Linked DNA regions of Arabidopsis thaliana. The protein of the gene in region 3 interacts with the protein of the main gene of each other region in a pairwise test. Each region holds a gene or a part of one and is shown on either strand. Other genes may lie near its edges. The genes, in order: AHP4, RR12, CRF2 and ARR7.

The links.
Region 1: the proteins of CRF2 (region 3) and AHP4 interact in a protein complementation assay, tested with the Arabidopsis thaliana proteins (one study listed by BioGRID).
Region 2: the proteins of CRF2 (region 3) and RR12 interact in a protein complementation assay, tested with the Arabidopsis thaliana proteins (one study listed by BioGRID).
Region 4: the proteins of CRF2 (region 3) and ARR7 interact in a protein complementation assay, tested with the Arabidopsis thaliana proteins (one study listed by BioGRID).

The regions. Positions count from the first base shown.
Region 1 is NC_003074.8:5,551,085-5,556,849, forward strand, and holds AHP4 (HPT phosphotransmitter 4), read left to right. Parts: upstream 1-3,112; 5' UTR 3,113-3,266; coding exon 3,267-3,311; intron 3,312-3,389; exon of another isoform or gene 3,390-3,399; coding exon of another isoform or gene 3,400-3,426; coding exon 3,427-3,557; intron 3,558-3,630; coding exon 3,631-3,699; intron 3,700-3,933; coding exon 3,934-4,005; intron 4,006-4,198; coding exon 4,199-4,271; coding exon of another isoform or gene 4,272-4,283; exon of another isoform or gene 4,284-4,309; intron 4,310-4,386; coding exon 4,387-4,434; 3' UTR 4,435-4,705; downstream 4,706-5,765. UniProt on the Arabidopsis thaliana protein: Functions as a two-component phosphorelay mediator between cytokinin sensor histidine kinases and response regulators (B-type ARRs). Plays an important role in propagating cytokinin signal transduction through the multistep His-to-Asp phosphorelay.
Region 2 is NC_003071.7:10,722,847-10,729,972, forward strand, and holds RR12 (response regulator 12), read right to left. Parts: upstream 4,427-7,126; 5' UTR 4,116-4,426; coding exon 3,989-4,115; intron 3,709-3,988; coding exon 3,556-3,708; intron 3,428-3,555; coding exon 3,053-3,427; intron 2,964-3,052; coding exon 2,887-2,963; intron 2,791-2,886; coding exon 1,807-2,790; intron 1,719-1,806; coding exon 1,644-1,718; 3' UTR 1,455-1,643; downstream 1-1,454. Other genes in the region: PKL (chromatin remodeling factor CHD3 (PICKLE)), read left to right, coding at 1-113, 198-330, 404-477, 558-917. UniProt on the Arabidopsis thaliana protein: Transcriptional activator that binds specifically to the DNA sequence 5'-[AG]GATT-3'. Functions as a response regulator involved in His-to-Asp phosphorelay signal transduction system.
Region 3 is NC_003075.7:12,373,338-12,379,514, forward strand, and holds CRF2 (cytokinin response factor 2), read left to right. Parts: upstream 1-2,784; 5' UTR 2,785-3,413; coding exon 3,414-4,445; 3' UTR 4,446-4,695; downstream 4,696-6,177.
Region 4 is NC_003070.9:6,576,461-6,581,906, forward strand, and holds ARR7 (response regulator 7), read right to left. Parts: upstream 2,855-5,446; 5' UTR 2,619-2,854; coding exon 2,471-2,618; intron 2,341-2,470; coding exon 2,264-2,340; intron 2,045-2,263; coding exon 1,967-2,044; intron 1,874-1,966; coding exon 1,803-1,873; intron 1,706-1,802; coding exon 1,459-1,705; 3' UTR 1,373-1,458; downstream 1-1,372. Other genes in the region: AT1G19040 (NAC (No Apical Meristem) domain transcriptional regulator superfamily protein), read left to right, coding at 435-953. UniProt on the Arabidopsis thaliana protein: Functions as a response regulator involved in His-to-Asp phosphorelay signal transduction system. Phosphorylation of the Asp residue in the receiver domain activates the ability of the protein to promote the transcription of target genes.

The DNA.
Region 1 (5,765 bases), on a different chromosome or scaffold from region 3:
TTGTCAAATAGTAGTGGAATTTGTTTTCCATGGTTGTGCAGCCTCATCTGTAACAACTAACAAACACGAATTCAAAATTCTTCACAATGACCATTATGTTTGTACCAATCACATTTATACTCAAAAGAATTATTGCTATTGTTCTGTTTCAACTCTCAACCACGACAACTACTCAAAACTTGATAGTATTTTCTAGTTGGGATGAGTAAATGAAATTGTATATTAACATGATATGTCGGAAGACGGTTCCCTATGATTTAATGTAAAACTCGGGTCTATATTTTTATTTTACTTTTATGATTATGATTAGTCGTTATCGGCCGATTTATTTGTTATTTAACAATTTGTTTAGGATTATAGCTTTTTCGGATTGGGAGGAATCATGTTCATAATATCGCGGAGGTGTAATTATTCACGAAAGTGATAGAGGATAAAAATAAATTTGTTTAGCATATACTTTATTTAACGGGTGATAGATGATTGAAGTTACATCTTTCAAATAATTGGATATTATTGAATTTATATTAATAGTTGAGAAGAATGTTTTTAATTGAGTAATCAACACAATTAAAAGAATTAAAAATCTGTTTGTGTGTCGACATTTGAACTTTTAAGGAGTCATCTTCAATCACGAACCAGTCAACATTGTGCCCTTTATACGAAATACTTAGTTCAATTAGGTGCTAATAGCTACTTCTAATAACTTTAGTAGCACAAATTCTGGCATCATGTATATCCAACAAAAAATCTCAAGATAACTTTCCGAAGAATATCTATCATTTAAAAATAAACTTTCTCTAAACATGTATTAATCTTCCAATCATAGGAATTAATAGTGGAACAAGCTAGCCTTCTAAAGTATTACAAGACTGATTTTGTCTTGAATATGAATATAAGTTATATTACAAACTAGCCTATAGTCTAGCAATTTCCTAATAATATATGAAAACTAAATCTCTACATATTTTCTCCCTTCGAATTAATTAGTCATTTGTACCAGAGGCAGAGATGATAGTTACGAGTTCATAATAATTAAGAGTTAAGACTATATATAGCCTTAAAGCTTAGAAATATACAAAAGATCATAAGAACAAAAAATAATTTTCTTTTATAAAATTAAGATCACATATATATATAAAGGAATAATTGGATTGTGTAACACATATACAACAAAATTTAGATAAATGTCATGAATTTTGTCCTCTTTTATTAGAATTTTATCTTGTATAATACTAAAAGGTAAACATAATAACATTTGATTTAAATACAAAATTGGGGTTTATCATGTAAAACCAACCTCACAAGTTTTGGAATGAATTGTTTTGTTTCTTCTAATTTTGTGGTATTACATATTTGTTATTAGAGGGGAGGTCGGAATTAAGGAGAATAATCGAGATGAGACAGCAAGCAATAATAAAACTTAGATTCTAAACCCACTTCCACCGAAAATATGTAGTAGACAAGTCCTTTATGTGAGATTGGTTTGGTGGGCGGAGGAATAAATAAAGCTGATTTTTTTTTGTATATGATCAATCTCTCTCTCTTCTGTAATTCGATCTCACGATGCTTGTCTGAGAGAGAAAGAGATATAGAAAGGAACAAATTATGCTGTAATGATAAAAAGATCTTTTATGTCTTTGTGTCAATCATTTAGATCACACTTGTTATGTGCTCTTCAGTTTTTCCTTTTTAGATACTTGTTCCTTGTTTCCAATAACAGAAATTTATGGTTTATTTTTTACTCGTTGGATATATGTATACCTTATTCTCTCTCTCTCTCTTTTTGGTTTCCTACTTCTTTCTTTTTTTGTTACAATATAGAAGTAGGAAACACACGCATCCGCACAAGTACTAGCCTTTCCTTGGCACACAACACCCTCTCACCTCCACACATTAATGGAAGAAACTTGGAAAAGATTTGCATCTAATTTTTCAATGTTTGTTGCAGCGGTCAAAGAGAAAGAAAACACATCAAACAGAAAACCCCAATAGAAATCTATTTATTTCTGGTCTTGATCATGATACTAACCTTGACTATGTTTTTAATATAAAAATGTCGTTTAATGTTTATCACAAGATATAATCCTTACTTAGTAATTGAATTCCGGACCCCAAACTAAAATACTTCGAATTAGTATTGCTTTCTGTTGTTGAAACAAAAGATAAGCAATAATAGTGTTTGCTAGTGTGCTAGATTCCAACAATTTTTTCTTCCAAAAGTACAACTTTTTTTTGCCCATTTCGTAAATTCATATGTACATATATAGTTGAATGTTGTGGGTGTACGTAATTGGTACCATTAAAATCAGGAAATCACAACCTTAAAAATAACAAAAAAAAAAAGAAAAAAGAAAAGACAATGATATTATAGAAAACTTTGTGAAAACATGAATTAAATTCAGTAATTAATCAAGACGGAAATGGTCTGTTCAGAATATTTTTCTTGAACTGTATACTTTTTCAATCTATAACTTTCTTTTTCACTTTCAGGAAAATTCGTGTCCACATACATTTTACTAGTATATATTTGCCTCATTTCCAAAGGTGTGTTTCGTATAGTATCAACGTTTAGCTTTTAGGTTCTATATTCGAAATTTTACATGTTTCTATGATGTACGTATATATATAATATTAGTCGTATTCCCATTCGTGAGATCCTTTGATTACTTATTAATTAAGATGCATTTCAGTTATATTTTTGGGCAATAGATCAATCATCCACAGTAGTTTAAGTTTCATAATGGACCATACTATTAATTAAACAATCAACATTGAGGAATTCTCTAATTGAAATCTCTTATTCAAAACTTTAACATAAACACTATCTTATATATATAAAAGATTACTATACATTCAAACTTATATATCAACACACATATATGATCATTTGATAACACCTACCATTTGTGTTATACATATATTTTATAGAGAAGTTATAGAAAATTATACTGAGTATACATCTATGTGTCATCGAAATAAGCTGATAATAACGAATACACGTTTTCTTTTTATGTCTGGAGTAGAATACAGCATTCATGCCCTTACGTTGCAGGTTCCCATCATTTTACAAATATTCTCTTCTCTTTTCTACTTTCTCTTTTTTGATGTAATACGATCTATTTATTTATTCTATATTTCACTATATATATCTCAGATGTCCAACGTTTCAGTATTGCATTGCCACTCGAATTACCTAAGATAAAAACGAATTATCACTTTGATTTTTCGCACTTATAGTTAAATCTATTCTCAAAATTTAAACAAACATGCAGAGGCAAGTGGCACTCATCAAGCAGTCCCTCTTTGATCAGGTTTTGGTCGTTTGTTTCTTCGTATTTTCGTAATATAACTTCGTACGTCGTACCACTTATATATGAATTTCTTCATATAATTTAGAAAATGACTAATATAGGAAAATGCATGCAGGGATATCTCGACGAACAATTCATGGAGTTAGAAGAGCTCCAAGATGATGCAAACCCTAATTTTGTTGAAGAAGTTTCCGCATTATACTTCAAAGATTCAGCTCGGTTAATCAATAACATTGACCAAGCTTTGTGAGTATTATTTTGTTTTCTATTATATATATATTTTTTTTTTTTCAGTTTTCTAATCATTTTTACAATGCAGGGAAAGAGGATCATTTGATTTCAATCGGCTGGATAGTTACATGCATCAGTTTAAGGGAAGCAGCACGAGGTAATTTCCCCCCTTAGTTTTTGACTATTCTAATTACGCCTTCAAGAAATAATTTTACTTAAAGAAATGCGAATACTTAAATGTTTATAAGATAAAAGAATGTAACGCAAAAGTACATTAAAATTACTTCCATTCTCATTCAGGATTCAATGACAGAATCTACTTTAACCAGAAATAATTAGATTTTATGATCGTTAGTTATACTGACAAATGTTGCATTTCTTTTTTTTGTAGCATTGGGGCAAGTAAAGTGAAAGCTGAATGCACTACGTTTAGGGAATACTGCAGAGCTGGAAATGCGGAAGGGTACTTTCGTCTTTATACTTATATACCTTCATGCTTCTCGTTTTTAACAGAAAACTAAGTAACGGGGTCAAAATGAAAATAAGTATAGTTTAGATGGCTAAAATTGCTGCAATTAATCCGCTGAACCTTGAACTTTTACTTTACTTCATTTTCGACCCCCTAATTAGTTTTCTTCGCTTTTTCTTACTTGCAGATGCTTGAGGACTTTCCAGCAACTGAAGAAAGAACACTCAACGTTGAGAAAGAAGCTTGAACATTATTTCCAGGCGAGCCAATAATCAATTATGCTTAATAATTTACATAATTAGAATGTGATTAGAAGTTATCATCAATCACTTTTGATATAGTATTTGCTGAAGTGAAATTTTTTGTAATGAACAGTTGGCAAGGCAGGCGGGGCCTAAGGAGACAGCACGTAGGCCCAAGTAAGAGAGAAAGAGAGAGAGACAGAGATAAATGAGGAATCGTCGTCGAATTTTGTAGCAAAACTATATAATAAATAGTTCCTCTTTATTTTTATATATTTCGATGTACGTTATAAAGAAGGTTTTGGACTTTTATATTATGTCCGTTAATAAACGGTCCAAATGTCTCTATGTTTTTCCCCTTATATCGCCAAATTTTCCCTTGGGAGTTTTATAGCTACGATTACCTCGTAACATATGGCTTCCTCTAATAACGGAATACAGAAAAGAGTGGACCAAAAAAATGCATTTTTTCGATTCTATGATGAATGCATTACCTTGTTTACAAAAGGAAAAAAAAAAGAAACTAAGCTTTACATTATTCGGTTTGTTTCCAGGAACCGTGTCCAAATCCTAAATATTCTTACCTATTTTTATATCATTATGTTAATATTTGTCTCTACTAGTACTGATTAATAAATATTTAAAAAAGAAAAAAAAAACCAAAATATTCTTAGGTAAAAGTCTAAAATAACATTATCATTATGTTACTATTTGTCTCTACTAAAACTAATTATTAAAAAAAAAAGAATGCCATGGCTTAGATGCAAACTATTCTTAGCTAAAAGTCTAAAATAATAACATTATCATAAACAATTAATATTACACTTTTCCATCTAATTTCTCTTACATGCCCTATTTTTCAAACGATGTCGTTTAAGAATATCACATAGACCTTCTATTTCATGAAAAAACTAACTCACCAATGCAAATAAATAAATCAAATGTTTGTTTGTGGATAAAGTAAAACGTTTTCTTTCAATGGCCCAGCATTTACTAAAATTTATTTCAAGTTCTTCCACGTAAAGTCTACACTACATACACTCATACAGGCAGTGTAACGCTGATTCGTAGAGCTGGAGAGTATCACAACAATAAATTTCTCTTCCGAAAGAAAACAGCCTAATATTAGGGAGATATTTACATACTCTATAAGATGTTCTTTAATCTCTTATATATATTACATATGAAAGAATTAATTGTTTAATTATTATCCAAAGCGACGTGAAACCACTCTCATTTATTAGCCCTAGCTATATCTCACAACCTCCATCTTCCTTACTTTAAAAACACAGACCAGATCCTATTTATAGCATCCATGTGCGCCATTGAAAGGTAAATTTATTTAATAAAGTTTACCTATAATATCAAATTATGCAAAACACAGGCTGGTTCAGTTTTTTCCACGAATCAAAAATGGTTGGAGAAATATTGAATAAGAGAGAGAGAGAGAGAGAGAGAGATAGAGTTTCAGAGTTGACACAACATTGAAGTAAACTAAACTCCTAACCTCTT
Region 2 (7,126 bases), on a different chromosome or scaffold from region 3:
TAAACTCGATGTTCTATTATCGGGACATGCAGAGACGACTTGTTGAGTTTGTGAAAAAGCGAGTTCTGCTTTTGGAGAAGGCGATGAATTATGAATACGCAGAGGAATATTATGTATGTTGTACCATCTGCAGTGTTGGTACTTACTCACATGTTTTGCGCTGAATTGTTTAACTTTGATTGAATCTCTGGTTGCAGGGACTTGGTGGCTCATCATCTATCCCTACTGAAGAACCAGAAGCTGAACCAAAGATCGCTGACACAGTGGGAGTGAGCTTTATTGAGGTTGATGATGAAATGCTTGATGGACTTCCTAAGACTGATCCTATCAGTAAGTTCCATCACAAGTTTCTTTATTTAACGAGTTGTTGATTCTAATGTGAGCTCTCTGAATCTCGCTGCAGCTTCAGAAGAAATTATGGGGGCTGCTGTTGACAACAACCAAGCGCGGGTCGAAATAGCTCAACATTATAACCAGGTAAGCTATGCTTTTTTCCTTTGGTGGTAGGCTAATGTCTAGAACTAGTATATCACACTAATATCTCTCCGGTTATTCAGATGTGCAAACTTCTTGATGAGAACGCTCGGGAATCAGTCCAAGCATATGTAAACAACCAACCACCGAGTACCAAGGTGAATGAGAGCTTCCGTGCACTCAAATCTATCAATGGTAACATTAACACAATCCTTTCGATTACATCTGATCAATCCAAGTCACATGAAGACGACACCAAGCCAGACCTAAACAATGTTGAGATGAAGGACACGGCCGAAGAAACAAAACCGTTAAGAGGTGGCGTCGTCGATCTGAATGTGGTGGAGGGAGAGGAGAACATTGCTGAAGCTAGTGGAAGTGTTGATGTAAAAATGGAAGAAGCCAAAGAAGAAGAGAAGCCAAAGAACATGGTCGTTGATTGACTCAACTGGTAAATCAAGATTCAAGACCCAAGGGGTCATGAAGTAGGAACTGTTGTATTATCTTTGGTTACATGTATGAGACTTATTCTTCCTTTTGTAAGACCTATCTTCTGCTTATGCAAACATTGGTAACATTTTAGGCTAACTTTGATATTCTTCATGTTTTCCTATTTTTGGAAAATCATGAAATTATAGTTTCTCAATCAAAGCTGTTTGGTTATGCACCTCAAGCTTTTTAACAGTGTGTGAATAGGTTCGATGAAGTCCGGTTATGTTTCCGGTTAGACGTCGTCTGTTTCAATCTAACTACTATTCTCAATCAAACTCAAAAACTGAACTAAATAATGTAAGATACAAACACAAGAATGTTATAATACAAATTTGGGTTGACTTTAACATAATGGTTTCGAGTGTACGAAGGAATCTTTGTTGCTTTAAAATTCGTCATCATCACTTTTTCTTCATAGACTTTTTCTATAGGGTTGTTTCTTCATAGGCCCGTGAATTTTGGTTTCATACACAAAAGGGACAACTATACATTAAAATAAAAAAGTAAGAAAGTTTATTTATGAATCCTTTTTTCTTTGTTGTTTTCTTTAATGGAGTCCTAAATTGCTAGAACCAGTGGGAAAACAAATAGTTTACAATTTTAATACACAAAAGATTAGCGAGAAAAAGAGACAAACAAGATGATGATATTTGATTTATGTCTAAATGTTTGTTCTCTCATATGCATGTTCTGAGTGAACTAAACCCTCCATATCCCAAATCTCCTCCAGACAAATCTCCCTGGCTCTGTTCCTGTCACATTCACAAAATCTTCATGTCAGAAATCACAATAATCTCCAAATCAGAATGGTTAATATTGGCAAAAGCTTTAATGTCACACCTGCTTCATCGTGGAGTTGACTATATCATCTAAGGAACCAGCATCTGCAACCATGAATCCACCACTCTGTAACTTCTGTTGGCCTACGACGAACCCTTCTTTCGGGTTACTACTACTCAACAGAGCCATAGCATCCGTGGATGGACCATAAAAGACTCCAGGTTGCACATTTGTGTTTGAATCGAAGTCCGTGTTTCTACAGAAAGCTCGGGGATTTGTTGTATCCAAGGCTGGAGAACTCAATGTATTGGCAGAGTCACAGAATGGTATAGAGTAGCTTGATGACACATTGTTCCATTCCAAGGGGTCGGGTCTAGAATGCGGTAATGGAGAGACATCGAACTGATGATTGATACTATTACTGTTATGTGCCGGGGGAGGAGGGTGAGTCGAAGAGGATACAGCATTTGACCAATGCTCCAAACGTTTATTGATCTGGTGTCCTGGGAAGCCTGGAGGAGTTGCTTGTGGGTGACCTTCTAGAACCACGACATTGTTATTAGGAGCACTGATGAGCGAGTTTTGTTGCGTAGAGAAGCTAGGAAAAGCCATGGAGGTCCCAGCAATGCTCTTGTTACTGTTCATGTTTCTACTTTTGTTGTTGTTTGTCTGAAGCTGGTCGAACTCTAAAGGCATTGGCAACCCTTGAAGTATGTTTCCTCCATCACTGTGGTTAAGAGGAAGTGATGAGACATGGTGAAACTTTCCGATATCGGTCTGGTTTTGCAAGAACATTCCTGCAGGAGGAGAAGAAAGGCTGCGGACACCGATCCCCGAAGGAGTATTGAGTCTGCCAAGAATCCCGTTTGGAGGGAAAGATCTCATTGCAGGAGCCCCACCATGGTACTGACCAGATCCAACAGGGATTGGGCGGTGATGGAAACCATCAAGTCCATTCATTTGCATAAAATGTAACTCAGAGTTTGCCATAATAGCTTGCTGATTAGCCACACCACTGATCCTCTTCAAGTAAAGGCGGAATTTCTGCAAACCACAGCGAACAAAGTCATAAGCTTCCGAGGTGTTAAAAAACAAATCTTCGGGTTACGCAAGTTAAAAACATGAAAGATTCTTTGTAACCTGAAGATGACTGGCCACATTTTCTCTAGTGAGCTTCTCAACATTCATCAGATCCAAAATCTTTTTAGGCATAGCCTCTGCAATCAAAACAACACACACAAAACAGAACTTAAGTGACATACTGATAAGCTTACTCTCATATCAAGTGACATATTGATAAGCTTACTCTCATATCCCAATTGGTTAACAGCTGCAACAAATTTCTTATGCAGCTCAACAGTCCAAACAACACGTTGCTTCTTTTGAGCACACGAATCATCATTATCATCTCTATCCTCATCCTCATCTTCATTATACTGATCTTTACGTTTTCTATTACCTTTCCCATTGTTCTGATCAGAATTCCCAACACCTTCATTACCTGATCCATCTCTCTTATCACCATTATTATTACTCCCACGGTTCTTATCAAATCTACTTCTCACGACATGTTGCCATATGTTCTTCAACTCCTCAATACGAACCGGCTTCAGTAGATAATCACAAGCACCATGAGTAACTCCCTTCATCACATACTTTGGATCACTATGCGCAGACAACACTGCAACAACAAGAAAATCATCATCACAAAACCAAGTCTAGAGATCAAAACTTTATTCCTGTAGTGAGTCATTAAGGAAATAAATGACAAAAGTTTAATTAGAAAATAATAATAATAATAAGACTTACTTATGACAGGTAGGTCCATTTCAAGACCAACAAGCTCAAGGAGTTTGAAACCATCCATGTCAGGCATGTCAACATCACTAATAACCAGATCAAACTTGTTCTTGTTCTCTCTCAATAACTCTAAAGCCTTTTGTGCTTGGTTCGTCGTTGTTACTGCAACAGATTCCATAAAGTCTTAAACTTTTAATTCAATTCAACAATGAAACTTTCTCTCTGACAAATGTCAAATCTTACAAAATCTAACAATGGAATAAAAAAAGCTAAGTTTTTTTTAGATTTGTGTATACAAGAAGTTAGGTAGATAGATATCAAAAGATTCCACCATATGTGGATCAAATCACAGATCAAAGAGACATAAAATCTAAAAACTTGATGAAAAACAGATCCAAGAAAACAGAGAGAGAGAGAGAGAGAGAGAGAGAGAGAGAGGAACCATGGTATTGGCAGTGACGAAGGAGAGATTCAAGGATTTTGAGACAAGTTTGGTCATCATCAACAGCAAGAACTCTCATTCCTACAGGAAACTGATCCAAAGCTTCTAAATTTTGTTCAACAGTCATCGTTTTTCAACAGACCCAGAAACGAAAGATTGGATTTTTAATCTTTTTTGCAAGTTGAAGAAAGAGAGAAAGTGGGATGTGCAAGAACGTCGATGGAGAAATGAGTTAAAGATTAAATATGTGAATGGGGTCTAGAGAGAGAGAGTAGTAGTATATAATATTTAGATTTAGAGAGAGAGACAAAAAGATTTTTCCAGCAGAGTTAAAAAAAGGAATCTTCTTTAGCTCTTCTAGCTATCTATAAATGGCTATGGAAATTGTGTGTGATCATCTTCTTAACACTATCCACTCTTTTTCTGCAATTCTTTTTTTTTTCTTTACATTACAAAACAAATAACATTTTATTGAGAGACTTAGAAAGAATCTTTGAAACATAACCAATTTGGTTTAGTTTGGTTTGTTTTGTTTTGTATGGTTTCTTTTAAACCAAACGGAATAATAAACTCAATTATACGAAAATTCGTAATTTTTAAACGAAACTGAACCGAAATGACTAATATTTGTCTAGTGGTTTTTGTTAAAGTGGTGTTTTAATGTCATTATACCGAATCAAAATCCGCATATTGTACCGAGTTTAAACCGTTACAAATTGAAGTGAGTTGTTTGATTTTGGTGAGTAGTCCCTACACTTATATATAAGGATTTCCACCCTAAAAGAAACTTGTATCCCTATCCTCAGGTGATATATAATACACCATTTTTTTTAGGTTTATCAAAAATTATCATTTGTAGGACCAACCATATATTGTACACTGGTTTAGTGACTGAACCGGATTAGTATTATTGCCACTTCCTCTCTCTAGTCTAAAGACTTTAAAGTTTAAACTAATAAAACACACTACTTGTTTGCAATTAAATTGTGTTAAAAAGTAAAAACCAGGTAAAATAATACTTAGGTGTTATTTGAATGGGGGAAATTAAAAAGTAATTATGTTAGAGATAGGAAAGTGTTTAAGTAAAAAGATTTTGGTTTATACTATCATTTATATCGCATCATTATTGTGGAGATACATTTTGATTCTTGTTAATCTAGTATTGTCCAACTGTTAAACGGACAAAAAAAATTAAATTATTTCCATAATGTCAATCACTGTTAAATACTTTCCTTAGCATTTGTTTCAGATTTAAACCGATTTACTAAAACGATTTTTGTAAAATTTTGGGTTTTAAATATATTGTAGTCACAGAAAAAAAAATCAAAACACCTAATTCGATTATTTCTATCATTAATTTAAATTTCATTTCTTATTTTTTAACAGTGTTTATATTAATTTGTTTGGTTGGATATAAGATGATAAATGGTTTTATTCCAGGATTTTGTATTAATTTACGAACCCCAAGTAGTAGTGTTAAAACGGTCTTTCTTGTTGGAGAAGACCCTTCATTTTTTTTAGCACTTGTTTACCTTCGTGACTAATTTTTATGTAAGTGTGTTTCTTGAGAAAAGTGTTTTAACTTCACTTTATAACATATGTATCAGAGAATCTCGTAGCATTACATGTAACTTAACTTCGGCAAGTCTTGGTGTTAAACTTATTATTATCTTATATATAGATTAAGCCATTCTAGCTGGTTTCTAAGGAGATTTGTCCCAAACTCGAAAACGGACTAAACAATTTTGATAGATAAGACCACATCTATCTGATATCCAGTATTGCTTTGATCGCGTAATCGAGGTCTAGATGAGGTAGTAAGTAGTAACCCTCTTTCTCCTATAAGTTTTTAAGGTACTTCACGAGGTCTAAGATATGTCCATTCATGTAGATAATACATATCTGTTTACTGTTTTTCCCTTTTCTCCTTTCATGCACTGATGTACAAGCAAATGATAAAATTGACTTAGCAAATCAATTGTAGAAACCATAAAGTAGCCTATGTTTTTTGTACATACTCTTAAAATCGACTATATCATTATTCTTAGAAAAACGCTATCGAAATATATGATAACGTTAAGAAAAACGCTCTAAAATATATGGTACAAAAGATAGTAAACTGACAATTGCACTCGGACTCCACTGATATCCAAATCGTAACGGTATCTGGTATTCAAATTTTAGCATCCTTTTGATCTTTTTCCAAAAATATAAACACTATGTCTCTTAATTACATCTTGACTTTATTTTTCACTATAATTTGGCATAGAAATGATAGACTGTCGTGGATCATTTTTCCAGCTCGGCGTATAAGAAAACAATTTTTTTCTCATAATCGTCTTAGCTTTCGGCATGGTTGAAATTATTGAATTGATCGATATTAGAGATATCGTCCCACGTTGAAAGTTTAGTAGGAACTTAAGCAGTTATATATAAGATATAAGTCTCTTTACTCATTCCCGATTGATTTTGAGTTGGAAGCCCATAATCTAATATGGTATCAGTGTCCGATCTGCATATAGTCAACCCAATCCACATCGGTCCACTAATCTATGCCCAAACATATCAAGACTAATGGATAGAAAAGCCATCATTTAGAAGGATCGTATTAGAGATATTGTCACATATTAGAAGTTAGTATAATCTTAAGTAATATTTATAAGATATAACGTTCTTCACTCATTACCAATTAGTTTTGAGTTGGAAGCTTATATTTTGATAGAAGAATCCTTTGAATTTACTATTTTTGTGTTCTAATACTTCCGTGTCAACTGTTGTTGCGTAGGAAAACTTGCCTCTCAATGGATAAAGTAAGCTCAAAAGTTTTGTTATCGCCTTAAATTTGAATTTTATAAAATCACACCTTTGGAAATTAATATTACAAGACCATACTTTAATTACAAGTAATCAGATTGATTGGAGTATGGTTTCAAAAACTACTATGAATATTCGAAAAGTGTATCTTGTGAAACAGTTTTAAATAGCTTTCTAAAAAAAAAACTGTTTTAAATTAGTTGACAAAACAATATTTTGGATTTTAAAAATGAGACAGGCTTTAGAGAGAGCAAGCATGCTTGAGATTGGGAAGTGCGTTACACGCTTGAGCGTGCATCAAAACTCTTTCTTTCGTACAGTTGC
Region 3 (6,177 bases):
TCTTTGAATATAACACAACATCATCACTTAATATAACACAAAATTTAGATGTATAAGATTTTAGTATACAAATCATCTAGAAATAAATGTTCAGTGACCTTGTAATCTAACATGGCAGAAGAGACAAGACTCACAACCAATAAACATAGTATGCTATAATTAATAATCTAACCAAACATACTGTAAACAAGAAAGAGAGTTGGGAATTATTTTAGTTTTGAAAAAGAGAAAAATATCATAAATTCACCTAAAATTAGTAGAAAGAATTTAAAACTTAATTTGACCCACAAAAAATAATATCTAACACTTCATATATGTTTCCATTATACGTGATGATATTTAAACAGTTTTCCTACAAAAATAAAATAAATGATGTTTCGGTTTTGAATATACGGCAGGTTTAATTATTTCGTTATATGAAAATGATAATCCTAAGCGGCGTGGTCTAACCCACACATTTCTCTTGCGATCCAGTGAAAAAAAAATAAAAGTTTCGATTATCACGTAAAATTTACATTGTGAAATATATCGAGTTTCTATGAACTTATCGTTGTCTCAAGAACTGATGATTAATGATTGTGTAATGATTATTATTTCGTGGACCAACAAATTTTTCATTATCTTAATAATTAGTGCCTATTATTATACTGATTTATTTCCGGAAACGAAATTTTATTTGTTTCGAAATGAGACATATGAAAATAATGTTATGGGATTCCTGAATTACGTGGCTCGAAGTAAATTTTGCTCATCTAGGGTTTGATGCTTAATTATACTGTAGTGATTTAGAATAATCTATTTCACATTTTTCACTCAGCTCTATTGTCTGAGAAATTTTATACCACATTTATTACAACTATATATATTTATCAACTTAAATCTAAAATCTATACATCAATGTTGTCCGGAATATAACATATACATAATACATGATGAATTATAGTATTATACTATAGTTGTTTGTTATGCATGTATTATTCAAAGATTCGAAATTAGTGATACTATATATATGTACATCAGTACATGGTCGAGAGTTTGTTAGATGATATTCACTGCAAATCTACACTAAATATTCATGTGAAAATAATTTTACAAAACGCAGGTAGAGTGTTACATGTTAAACGAGTACGCTTAAACTAGTGCGTACATTGCAGAGTAAAGAAGTTGGACAAAAACTGCATAGCATAAAGGAAGCAAATAAAAAATGAAGGGAAAGACAAGACATAACAAACGGGTACATGGTTCACATACCCTGCGATCAGATTGTTTCGTTCTTTGGTAATGTAGCATGGGCTTCCAATATCTTCTCTATGCAAATTATATTATTATATCAGTACGTTTTTAAACATTTCTGTAATCAAAACTCAAAAATAATAATTCAATATATATGAAAACTAGTTGTACGAAATACAAAGTGTTACCCGATCGTGTCAAAATCAAAAACATTTCAATCATGATTAGGAAACTTAACTCAACCATACGTTACATAGGAAAGTAGATGCTGCATAGTTGACCATTGGTCAAAGTGTTTAACACTTTTAAAGATTTTTAACTTAATAGAGAAAGTAAATTTTTATTCTCTAATTAATTAGAAATGCCAAATATGCTTGTCTTTAAAAATTGTCAGTAAATTAAAGTCACTCTGTTATTATACATTTTATAGTCACATAAAATCTGCAAGCAAATAACAGAAAATTATCAAGTACTCCTAATCATAATTAAGAAGTAGTAATACAATGATTCCAAAAAAAATTACTGTACTTTTTTTTAATGTGTGTGTGTGGCGCAACGTCCTAGATTGTTGTCTGCCACGTTAGCCAGCACCAGCTGTAATAACTAAAAAGTGGCAAGGTTATGACTGGTAAAGGTTAAAACAGTAAAGAACTACGAGCCGTAACGGTCTCTTGTCTTTCTTCTTTTTCACAACGCAACTTGCTTAGGTGAAAGTACGATACTATCCCTGTGGTGAAAAAGAGAACTTCGCACGGAGGTTATGAGATTAATCACCTGCTGTTAATTATAAATTATTGGTTCTGGTCAAAAGTAAGACTGGACCGTGTCTCCGGTGTCACGTGACCTGAATCTCCAATTACGAGGAAATTTTAAAAAATGATTATAGAAGTAATTAGTATTAGTAATACATATGTTTTTCTCTTTGTCAGCTGCCCCATGGAAAGGCACGTCCCAGCCGTTGGATTGGACCCAATTCTGTAATTACACGTGTCGATATCTCAATCGTTTGACTTATGCGGCATTTTGGTTTTGCCAAGCTCGTTTTTTCCGGCTATAATTAGTTTTTGCTAAAAATCAGTCAAAAATTAAGATTTCATTCTAATTTTAAAAAGACAAATTTCCTTGGTCGGCACTAATATCTAATTATCGACCATTAATGTCATGATTCTTATTTGCGTTACAATAATTACTGTCGACACTTGTTGTAGTTCTTAGTTTTTGTTTTTTATCTAGTTTTGTCTCTAAATTTCAATTTCAATTAAGTGTACATTTGGACTGTAACAAGCATAGTTTTGACAATTGTCTTTCATTCATTTCATCATTTGACATCACCAATGAAAAGTTAAAAATCTCTTAACACTAATTATGAAATGTCTTTCATATTCTTGTACATATATATAAAACACTAAACTCAAAGTGTTTAGCAAATAAAAAAGAATTTAGATACAAATGAATCTTGTCCACCTCCCTTAAACAGAAAGAAATATCTTTGTCAAAAGTTTTTTTTATAAGATATTCGAAAATTAAATTAAATACCAAAAAAGAAAGAAAGGAGTAAACACTAATAATATGAGACGTTTCAAAGATCCTATAAAATAGTCACTCTCTACCATTACATGTGCTCTGCCGCTTTTAAATCTCTCATCTTCTTCCTCGTGTCACTCTTTCTCTCACACTCTGCAAAAACATTTTCTTGTCTCTCCTCTGCCCAAATTTTTTTTCTTTCCAGGAATATTTCCTAGAAAAACCCAAGCAAAGCTTTAACCCCTTCCTCCTCCAAAAGTAGCATCTTCCTCTTTTTCTATTTCTCCTTTCCTCTTCTTATCTCTCTCTCGTTTGTGAACGATTCCTTAAGAATATAACCAAAAGCCCTTTTCTCCTTTCTTCAACTTTCCGGGAAAAATCTTCACGCAGCAAGGTTTCTCTCTCGGCTCTCGCAGTGTTTTTCGTGCCTTTTGTTCTTTCTATAAAAAAAAAATTCGCGTCCTTTAAGAAAACTTTTTCCACCTAGAGAAGAAGAAGAGTATCACTCTTGTTGTTCAAGTTTCTCTCTTTAATAAAAAATCCATCTTTATTCTTTGTCTTCTTTCCTTTTTGCTTTCCCTAATCTCTATGTTATAAACACACAGAGAGAAACAAAGTCACAGTCTCGAGTCAAAAACAGAGAATACGAAAGAAAAATGGAAGCGGAGAAGAAAATGGTTCTACCGAGAATCAAATTCACAGAGCACAAAACCAACACGACAACAATCGTATCGGAGTTAACCAACACTCACCAAACCAGGATTCTTCGTATCTCAGTCACTGACCCAGACGCTACTGATTCCTCCAGTGACGACGAAGAAGAAGAACATCAACGCTTTGTCTCTAAACGCCGTCGTGTTAAGAAGTTTGTCAACGAAGTCTATCTCGATTCCGGTGCTGTTGTTACTGGTAGTTGTGGTCAAATGGAGTCGAAGAAGAGACAAAAGAGAGCGGTTAAATCGGAGTCTACTGTTTCTCCGGTTGTTTCAGCGACGACGACTACGACGGGAGAGAAGAAGTTCCGAGGAGTGAGACAGCGTCCATGGGGAAAATGGGCGGCGGAGATAAGAGATCCGTTGAAACGTGTACGGCTCTGGTTAGGTACTTACAACACGGCGGAAGAAGCTGCTATGGTTTACGATAACGCCGCTATTCAGCTTCGTGGTCCCGACGCTCTGACTAATTTCTCAGTCACTCCGACAACAGCGACGGAGAAGAAAGCCCCACCACCGTCTCCGGTGAAGAAGAAGAAGAAGAAAAACAACAAAAGCAAAAAATCCGTTACTGCTTCTTCCTCCATCAGCAGAAGCAGCAGCAACGATTGTCTCTGCTCTCCGGTGTCTGTTCTCCGATCTCCTTTCGCCGTCGACGAATTCTCCGGCATTTCTTCATCACCAGTCGCGGCCGTTGTAGTCAAGGAAGAGCCATCCATGACAACGGTATCTGAAACTTTCTCTGATTTCTCGGCGCCCTTGTTCTCAGATGATGACGTGTTCGATTTCCGGAGCTCAGTGGTTCCCGACTATCTCGGCGGCGATTTATTTGGGGAAGATCTATTCACGGCGGATATGTGTACGGATATGAACTTCGGATTCGATTTCGGATCCGGATTATCCAGCTGGCACATGGAGGACCATTTTCAAGATATCGGGGATCTATTCGGGTCGGATCCTCTTTTAGCTGTTTAATAATATTTTAAATAAATAAATAGTTATACCGGCCGTTACTAAACGGAACCGGAGAAAGTTTTGTATACCGGTGACATAAAATCTCGGTTATGTTCGTAATCTTTTTTTCTTTGTTATATATAAAAATATGAATGAAACTGAATTAATGTAAGTTAATGGTGATAATTATTAACGTTTTAAGTTTTGAAAAATAATTTTCGTCTGTTAACGATAATGGGAGGTCGAGTTTCTTTTTGCTTCCACGTGCTCTGCTCTCTTTATCTCTTTTTAAAAATTTTGGTCGACTGAAAAATTCCTTTATTTGATATAAAAATTCGTTTTTATGTTGTTGTTGTTGGTAGAGGCACGTGTGATCTCACGTGATGAGAACAATTGAAAAGCTTTTGCATCTAGTTTTTGTTTTCTTAAGGCTAATCATATCATTTTCGAAAGGCTAATAATAATTTATTGTTACACGATTACAAGCTAATAATCCAAAGTCCAAAAACTAGTTTCTTGAAATAAAAATAGTGTGATATGCCAGGTAGATTGAGACTAGATACGAAGAAGGAGAATCTAAGTTGATTTGAAATATGGCACATCATAAAACTATATTTTGGCAGTTTATACAAAAATTCAGAAGAAAATGAGTAAAATATAAAAATCTCATGAGGATTAAATGAAAGAAGCAGTTGGGGTAGTTGATTGTCTAGAGCACTTGAATCTCACTCTGTTTTAACAGTTTCTATAATAGTACGATGTAACTATGGTTGTATTGTTATGCACGCATAAATCAACTTTAGTTTTATGGTTTTATACTAAGCCATATTGTGTAAATCTAATCGTCCTGAATAATTAGAGTATGTTCATAATTGTTTTTTGTCCTTTTATTGTTTCATTGTTATTTAGGAATAGGGATGTTACGATGGGTCAAGCTGGTCCATGCCTTGGTTTGGTTCGATCTGGTTCTTGATTGATTTTGGCCAGCGGATACCAAGTGAACCATCAATTGCAAAATGTTACTACCTGTCTATGTCAATATCTCTGTTCAGGCTCGGGCCAGCTTGCTTTTGCATGATTTTGGTCCACCACACCATGGTCTTATTTAAGGGTTGATAGAGCTTGTATGATCAGTACCTTTAAGGTGTGATTCTCGAAGAATTGTTGAGATGATTTACTTTCTTTCATGCATTGCTGCTTGGTTTGCTTATTTGTTTTTTTCAATTAGTTATCTCAAAAATATCTCTAAAATTTATAACCTTGTGAGAAGCTAAGGTTATTGTCTCACGAAGCAAGCAGTGTTCGACCTAGATGGATGGTAATCGTTTCTATCTTGTGGCTCTATTCCAATGGTTTACTATTTTTCCTAAATACCACTTTGTTTTCAATCCGAAATTTATACCACGTTACAAAAAAAACTTTCATAGAGACTTAGAGAGTGTGTTGTTTGATAAACCTTTCGTGTATTTTTTTTTTTTTTTTAATTATTATTTTAAAACTCTACGTAAACAATTTTAATCGCCATTTCTGAGAAAACTCAAAAGCAATAACCGATGTAATTGATAAAATAAAAATAAAAAATAACATTAAAAAGATTGAAAATACAGAGGAGATGCAGGGAAAAGAGCTGACGACACGTAGGCTAGAGCCGCAACTACTCGAGAAAGAGCATTGTCGTGTCGCTTTCGTTAAATACTACTGTACTATCTTTTTCTCTGCCCGTAAGGTTGGTTCAGAGGCTACTACATTTCTC
Region 4 (5,446 bases), on a different chromosome or scaffold from region 3:
GTCTCTGTTCTCTACTAGAAGAAATCGTCGATCATTGATTCAGGTAAGTTCTCGTTCTTTGTTATCCAAGTTTCTGCTTCAAGCATTCATCACCAAGATTCCAATTCGTTATTGGGGTTCTTGCAGAAACTTCTTCGAACATTCATATCTGTTAAGTTTTCACGTCGTTGGGTCTCTCTGTTAATCTGCTAGAAGAAATCTTCGATCATTGATTCATGTAAGTTCTCGTTCTCTCATAATCAAGTTTCTTCTTCTTCAGCATATATTCGTCTCTGTTACACTTTCACACCGTTTCTACTGCTAGAAGAAATCATATTCATTACCATGATTCCAATTCTTTTACTGGGTTTTCTTTTAGAATAATAGATCACTGTTTGTTTTTAGAGATCGAGTTTGATGAATTTGGTTTCTCGTTTCTTGGATCAGAAGCAAAAATGTCAGAGGTGTTAACACGCGGGTTTCGATTTCGCCCAGCTGATGAAGAAGTGACAGACTACCTTATGCGGAAGACACAATCGCCGGAGTTCAGCTGCTTTATCAAAACCATAGACTTGTACGACAAGGATCCGTGGGTACTTGGGCATGTGAGAGATCCGTGTTACAATCACTATGAATGGTATTACTTTGTTAAGAAAAACCCCCTCGGGAATGAGTACTTAGATAAGCCTAGATTGAACGGGTTTGAACATCCACGCTTGAAATGGGATGTGTTGAAGCAGATACATGATGCTCTGAGTTCTGGTCAGAACGTCCCACCAAGTGTCTTTACTTACGGATTCCGATTTCATCCGACTGATCAAGAGCTACTCTCTTTGTACCTCACTCCAAAGGCCCATTCACCAGACTTCAGCTGCTTCATAAGAGAGAGAGAGAGCTATATGCCATGGAGCCATGGCTTCTTGAACATGTTAGATCTCCTTTTTACAAGGACAGTGAATGGTACTACTTTGTGAGAAAGTGTTCGTCTCGTCGTGAAAAGCTGAATTTGATGTTCTACCTCAGGGGCAAGAAGAAAACATGGAGGGTCAATGGTGTTGTTACACAAATCATAGATAATGACATAGAGAAAAATGTTCTGGGAACTAAAACAAGATATTCTTTCAATCTCGATGTGGGGCGTGTCCACTCAATGACCGGGTGGAAAGTAGAAGAATTCCAATTGTCTTCGGATCCTGTTTGGGCGGTTTGCAGACTCACTTACCTGAAAAACGATTCCTGCGTGATTGATGATAGACCAATACTTCCGGGAGAAGAGCATCCTAAGCTTGAGTTGCAAGCATTGAAGAATTTACATGAGGTGTAAGTCAGTGTGAACCTAACATTTGATTCTTTTCTCTTTTTTGTTTTGTTTTGTTTAAGCAACATCATGAGTAGTGTGATGACTCTCTCAAACATTGTCTTTCTTGAGGAATATTAACAGAATGGTTTTGCTAAGGTCTTGGCCTCTATACATATAATTCAAAGTAGAGAAAAAAGGTTTTCAGATTCTGATTTCATTCGTTTTGAACATGAAGAGTCCTTGATAGAAGTATCATCATGACTTGATGATGATGTATCACTGTCTTCTTGAAGCTTTCTCTTGTTAGAATGGCTTAAGATTTTGCATTCCTCAGCTTCATTCCTCATTATAAGTTGTTTGATTCGCTTTACATCTGCTAGCTTCACCGGTTTCAACAAGAATTCCTCTGCTCCTTCTTTGAGACATCTAAAAACAAGAAGAAGAAGTCGATAAGTTTAGATCACAGTGTAGACACAAATATGATCCCATCTGTATCACTACACATTACACAATCAGTACTTACTCTTGTATACGAGGTAAGATGTTCTCAGATGACATAATCACTACTGGTACTTCTCTGAATGCTGAAGATTCCTGCACATATCAATGGAGTTTTGTATAAGCAGCATTAAAAAAGCTTTGTTTAAGTCTTTCTCAGATTGGTAAATCCATTATTATTGTTATTACCTTAATCTTTTTAAGGAGATCATATCCTGAAAGTCCTGGCATTGAGTAATCCGTCACTATCAAATTCACCTTCAAATCCTGTTATGATGAAAATCACAAACAAAATCAAATCTTAATACCAAAACACATAAATCACTAACTAGACTAGTTCATTTCTAAATCTCATTTGATCATAAAGACAAGAAGAAGCAATAGCCAAAGCCAAAGTTGCAAAGGTTTCACTCCTTCGGTCTTTCCTAAATATACAAGAGTTCTTCTCAGTAGATAGCAAAAGAGGGAAGATTTATTCTTAATTACCTTAAGATTAGAAGCCCCTTTGCCTCCATCTAAGCCAAGATACTGCAAAGCCCTAGTTCCACTCTCTACAGTCGTCACTGAAATAACAAAAAAAAAAAGACACTTGTAACTAAAAAACAGAGGAGAGTTTGTTAATGAAGAAGAAAAACAGAGGAGAGTTAAAACCAACAAAAACAGAGCAGAAAAAGATTGGTTTTGAGTTTTTACCTTTACAAGAAGAGATTCTAAGCAACCTCTCGATGACTTTACGATCCACAATACTATCATCGACGGCAAGAACATGCAACTCCGGAGTAGTAACAGTCAAATCTCCACCGGCGGGAATCTCCATCCTCATGACCTCACCAACCGCCATTGTCAAACTCAGAATAAAAAAGAGAGCAGATTGGTTCCAAGAAGAGGAAAGCTTTGGATTGAAGACAAAGGAAATGAATGTGATAAAATGAAAGAAGAAGAAGTTAGGTTAGGTGACATAAATAAGAAGGGAGAGGTGGTGGGGTTTAATAAGTACTAGTATAGTAGATAGAGAGAGATTTGGAAGATCGGATCTTGCGGGGTAAGATCTTTGAAGAGGAAACAAAATCTTAAAAATGGGTCAAGTGTTGATGTTATGTGTTTGGGAAGTGTCAGAAAACACAAATAATCAAATGTGTCTTCAAAGGTCAAAATCTTTGGGCACCGAATCTTTTTTAAGATTTCAAAGATCTTTGTTTGGTCTGTTTCTTTCAATCCGACAGCGACTACTCCCTCGTGACCTGGAACTTTCCTTCTGCTTTTAGTAATTTTATTTTAGTTTTACCTCTCTCTCTCTTCTTTTTTCTTTTTCTTTGCCAAGTCGGCTACTACTTTGCATTTTACTTACATATCAATCAATGATCTAAAACCGGTGGTTATTGCTCAATTAATCTACTTCTATATTCATTTTAACTTCAACATTGTATTTTGTATTTTCCTATACACGTGATTCGTTTATACTCTACTAAATTTTATTTATGTGTAATGGTATGATGGTGATACTAATACAATTTAATCCTCTTGTTGTCTTTTTTTTTTTCTTTTTTAATTTGGGTAAGAAGTATTTTACAAGGTTATCTTAATTTAATTTTCTTTACGTCAGTAAGGGTTATTATTTTATTTAAAGACAAAAGGGACATTTTTTATTTTTTATTGTCATCGTTTTCAGTTGAGTTTCCTTTATTAAATTGATTGAATTTTGTATGCAATAAAGGCACTCTGTTTAGTGGACCATTGTGTGTGATTTGTGAGTCTCTTTTGCTTTTGGACAAAATCTTGAGAGAAAAATATGGACAAAGTATTGCGGGTGGATCCTTTTGTCTCAATCATAACATCTTCTAAACGAATTGCAAGAGGACTAAGGCAATAGTACATGTTATTTGGTTTCAAATCAATTAAAAAACGTATATTATACGATCCCTAAATAAGTGTCAAACATGAAATTCCTAAATTAAATTGGAGAAATAATACCAGGACAACAGCCATATCATATAAGGATCTCTTTGCAGATTTAAAAGGTTTTTTTTTTTATTTTGCAACAAAAGGGAATAGTTTTGTCATCATTTCATTTAAGTTGTTTAGTGATTTTTTTTAGTTGACCATCATTGTGTGATTTTGTGAGTCCTTTTTGGACAAAATCTGGAGAGAGTAAAATCTTCAAAAGTTGTGGAGGAGGATCCTTTATAGTTTGTAACATCTTTTAGCCGATTGTGAGAGGACATTGACAAAAACATTTTGTAAAGAAAACTGGTTTCTTAGCATTAATTTAGAATCTAGCAAACTTTTTGTAACGATTTGATAGATATCTACAAATATCAATGTTGAGATCTACAAGAATCTAGCAAAAACATGATGGTCTTCACACCTAACACTTACGAAAAACATTATTTTGAAAAAAAAAAAAAGAGTCAGTCATTTGAAGAGAAAATTATTACAATGTTGATCCACATGTCTAAACATTTGATGATCGTGCCAAACAAAACATTGGTGATAAGAACATTACTGAAAGGAAAAGGAAAAAACCATCAATATGTTTCACATTTTCTTATTTTCATTGCAATTTATATATGGAACAAACTTGCTTTCAAATGTTTTTTTCCACCTAGATTTTAATGTCTTATGTTTCAAGTTATCAAGATCTTTGCATACATTTTGAATAATAAAATAAACAAATCAAGAGACAGTCATCCATTTGCTCCGTACCTAAGATTTATGAAAAGAAAATCCTAAATCCAATTTAAAAAAACGAACCACAACCACCAAAGTCTTTCATGTATTCAGTTATTTTTTAGAAGTCAATAATTTGATTTTAAACATAAACGAACAGTTCCTGAATAATAGAAACGGACTATTGATGATATAGTCACGATAGCTACAAGAGGAGAAAAAACACTATAGTCATAACAACGCTAAAATATATATAAAAGTGTTCTCCGTTTGTTGGTTTCGTAATAAATAATGCTTCATCATATAGTCACGTACTGATTTGTTTACAAAGTTTGCTTACAATCTCAAGATACGATGACCAAAATACCAAAGATATTACTAGTTATTTTTCAAGACTAATATTATTATCGTATATAAATATACTGTTTTTCTCATAACAACATTATTTTCAGCTCATTGTTAACATGCTTATATGTGACAGTAATATATACACAAATTGATACAATATTTTTGTCAAACTTTAATTTTATGACTTATCACATAGAACAGTATTGATTTGTCTATATGCGTCCAGTGCGATAATAATCAAGTTTGACTCTAAGGTATAATCAACTGGGAAAAAATTAGTTCCACTAAAACAAGAAAATATGACTCGCTTCCACATCATCAACCGGTACCAACTACCAAAGAGGAGATATTTGAAAACCAAAGTGTTAATAAAATCGTTTAGTCATCGAACAAATCAGAGACTACGAATAAAGTTAAACATCAAATTGGACTACGAGGATTCTCTTTATATAGGTAACGACTTCTATATTATTAAATATCGAGGCATGGTCTGAGTAAAGTTGTCCTGATATGCGAGAGACATTGTCTCGAGACCAGATCGAAGTAAGCGAGGAGATCCAAGACTTGCTTGGAAAAGTTTGTCCTGTTTTGGTAGGACTATGTTTCTTTTTGTAAGACACATATACAAATACATCCGCGAGTATGATCAAAATC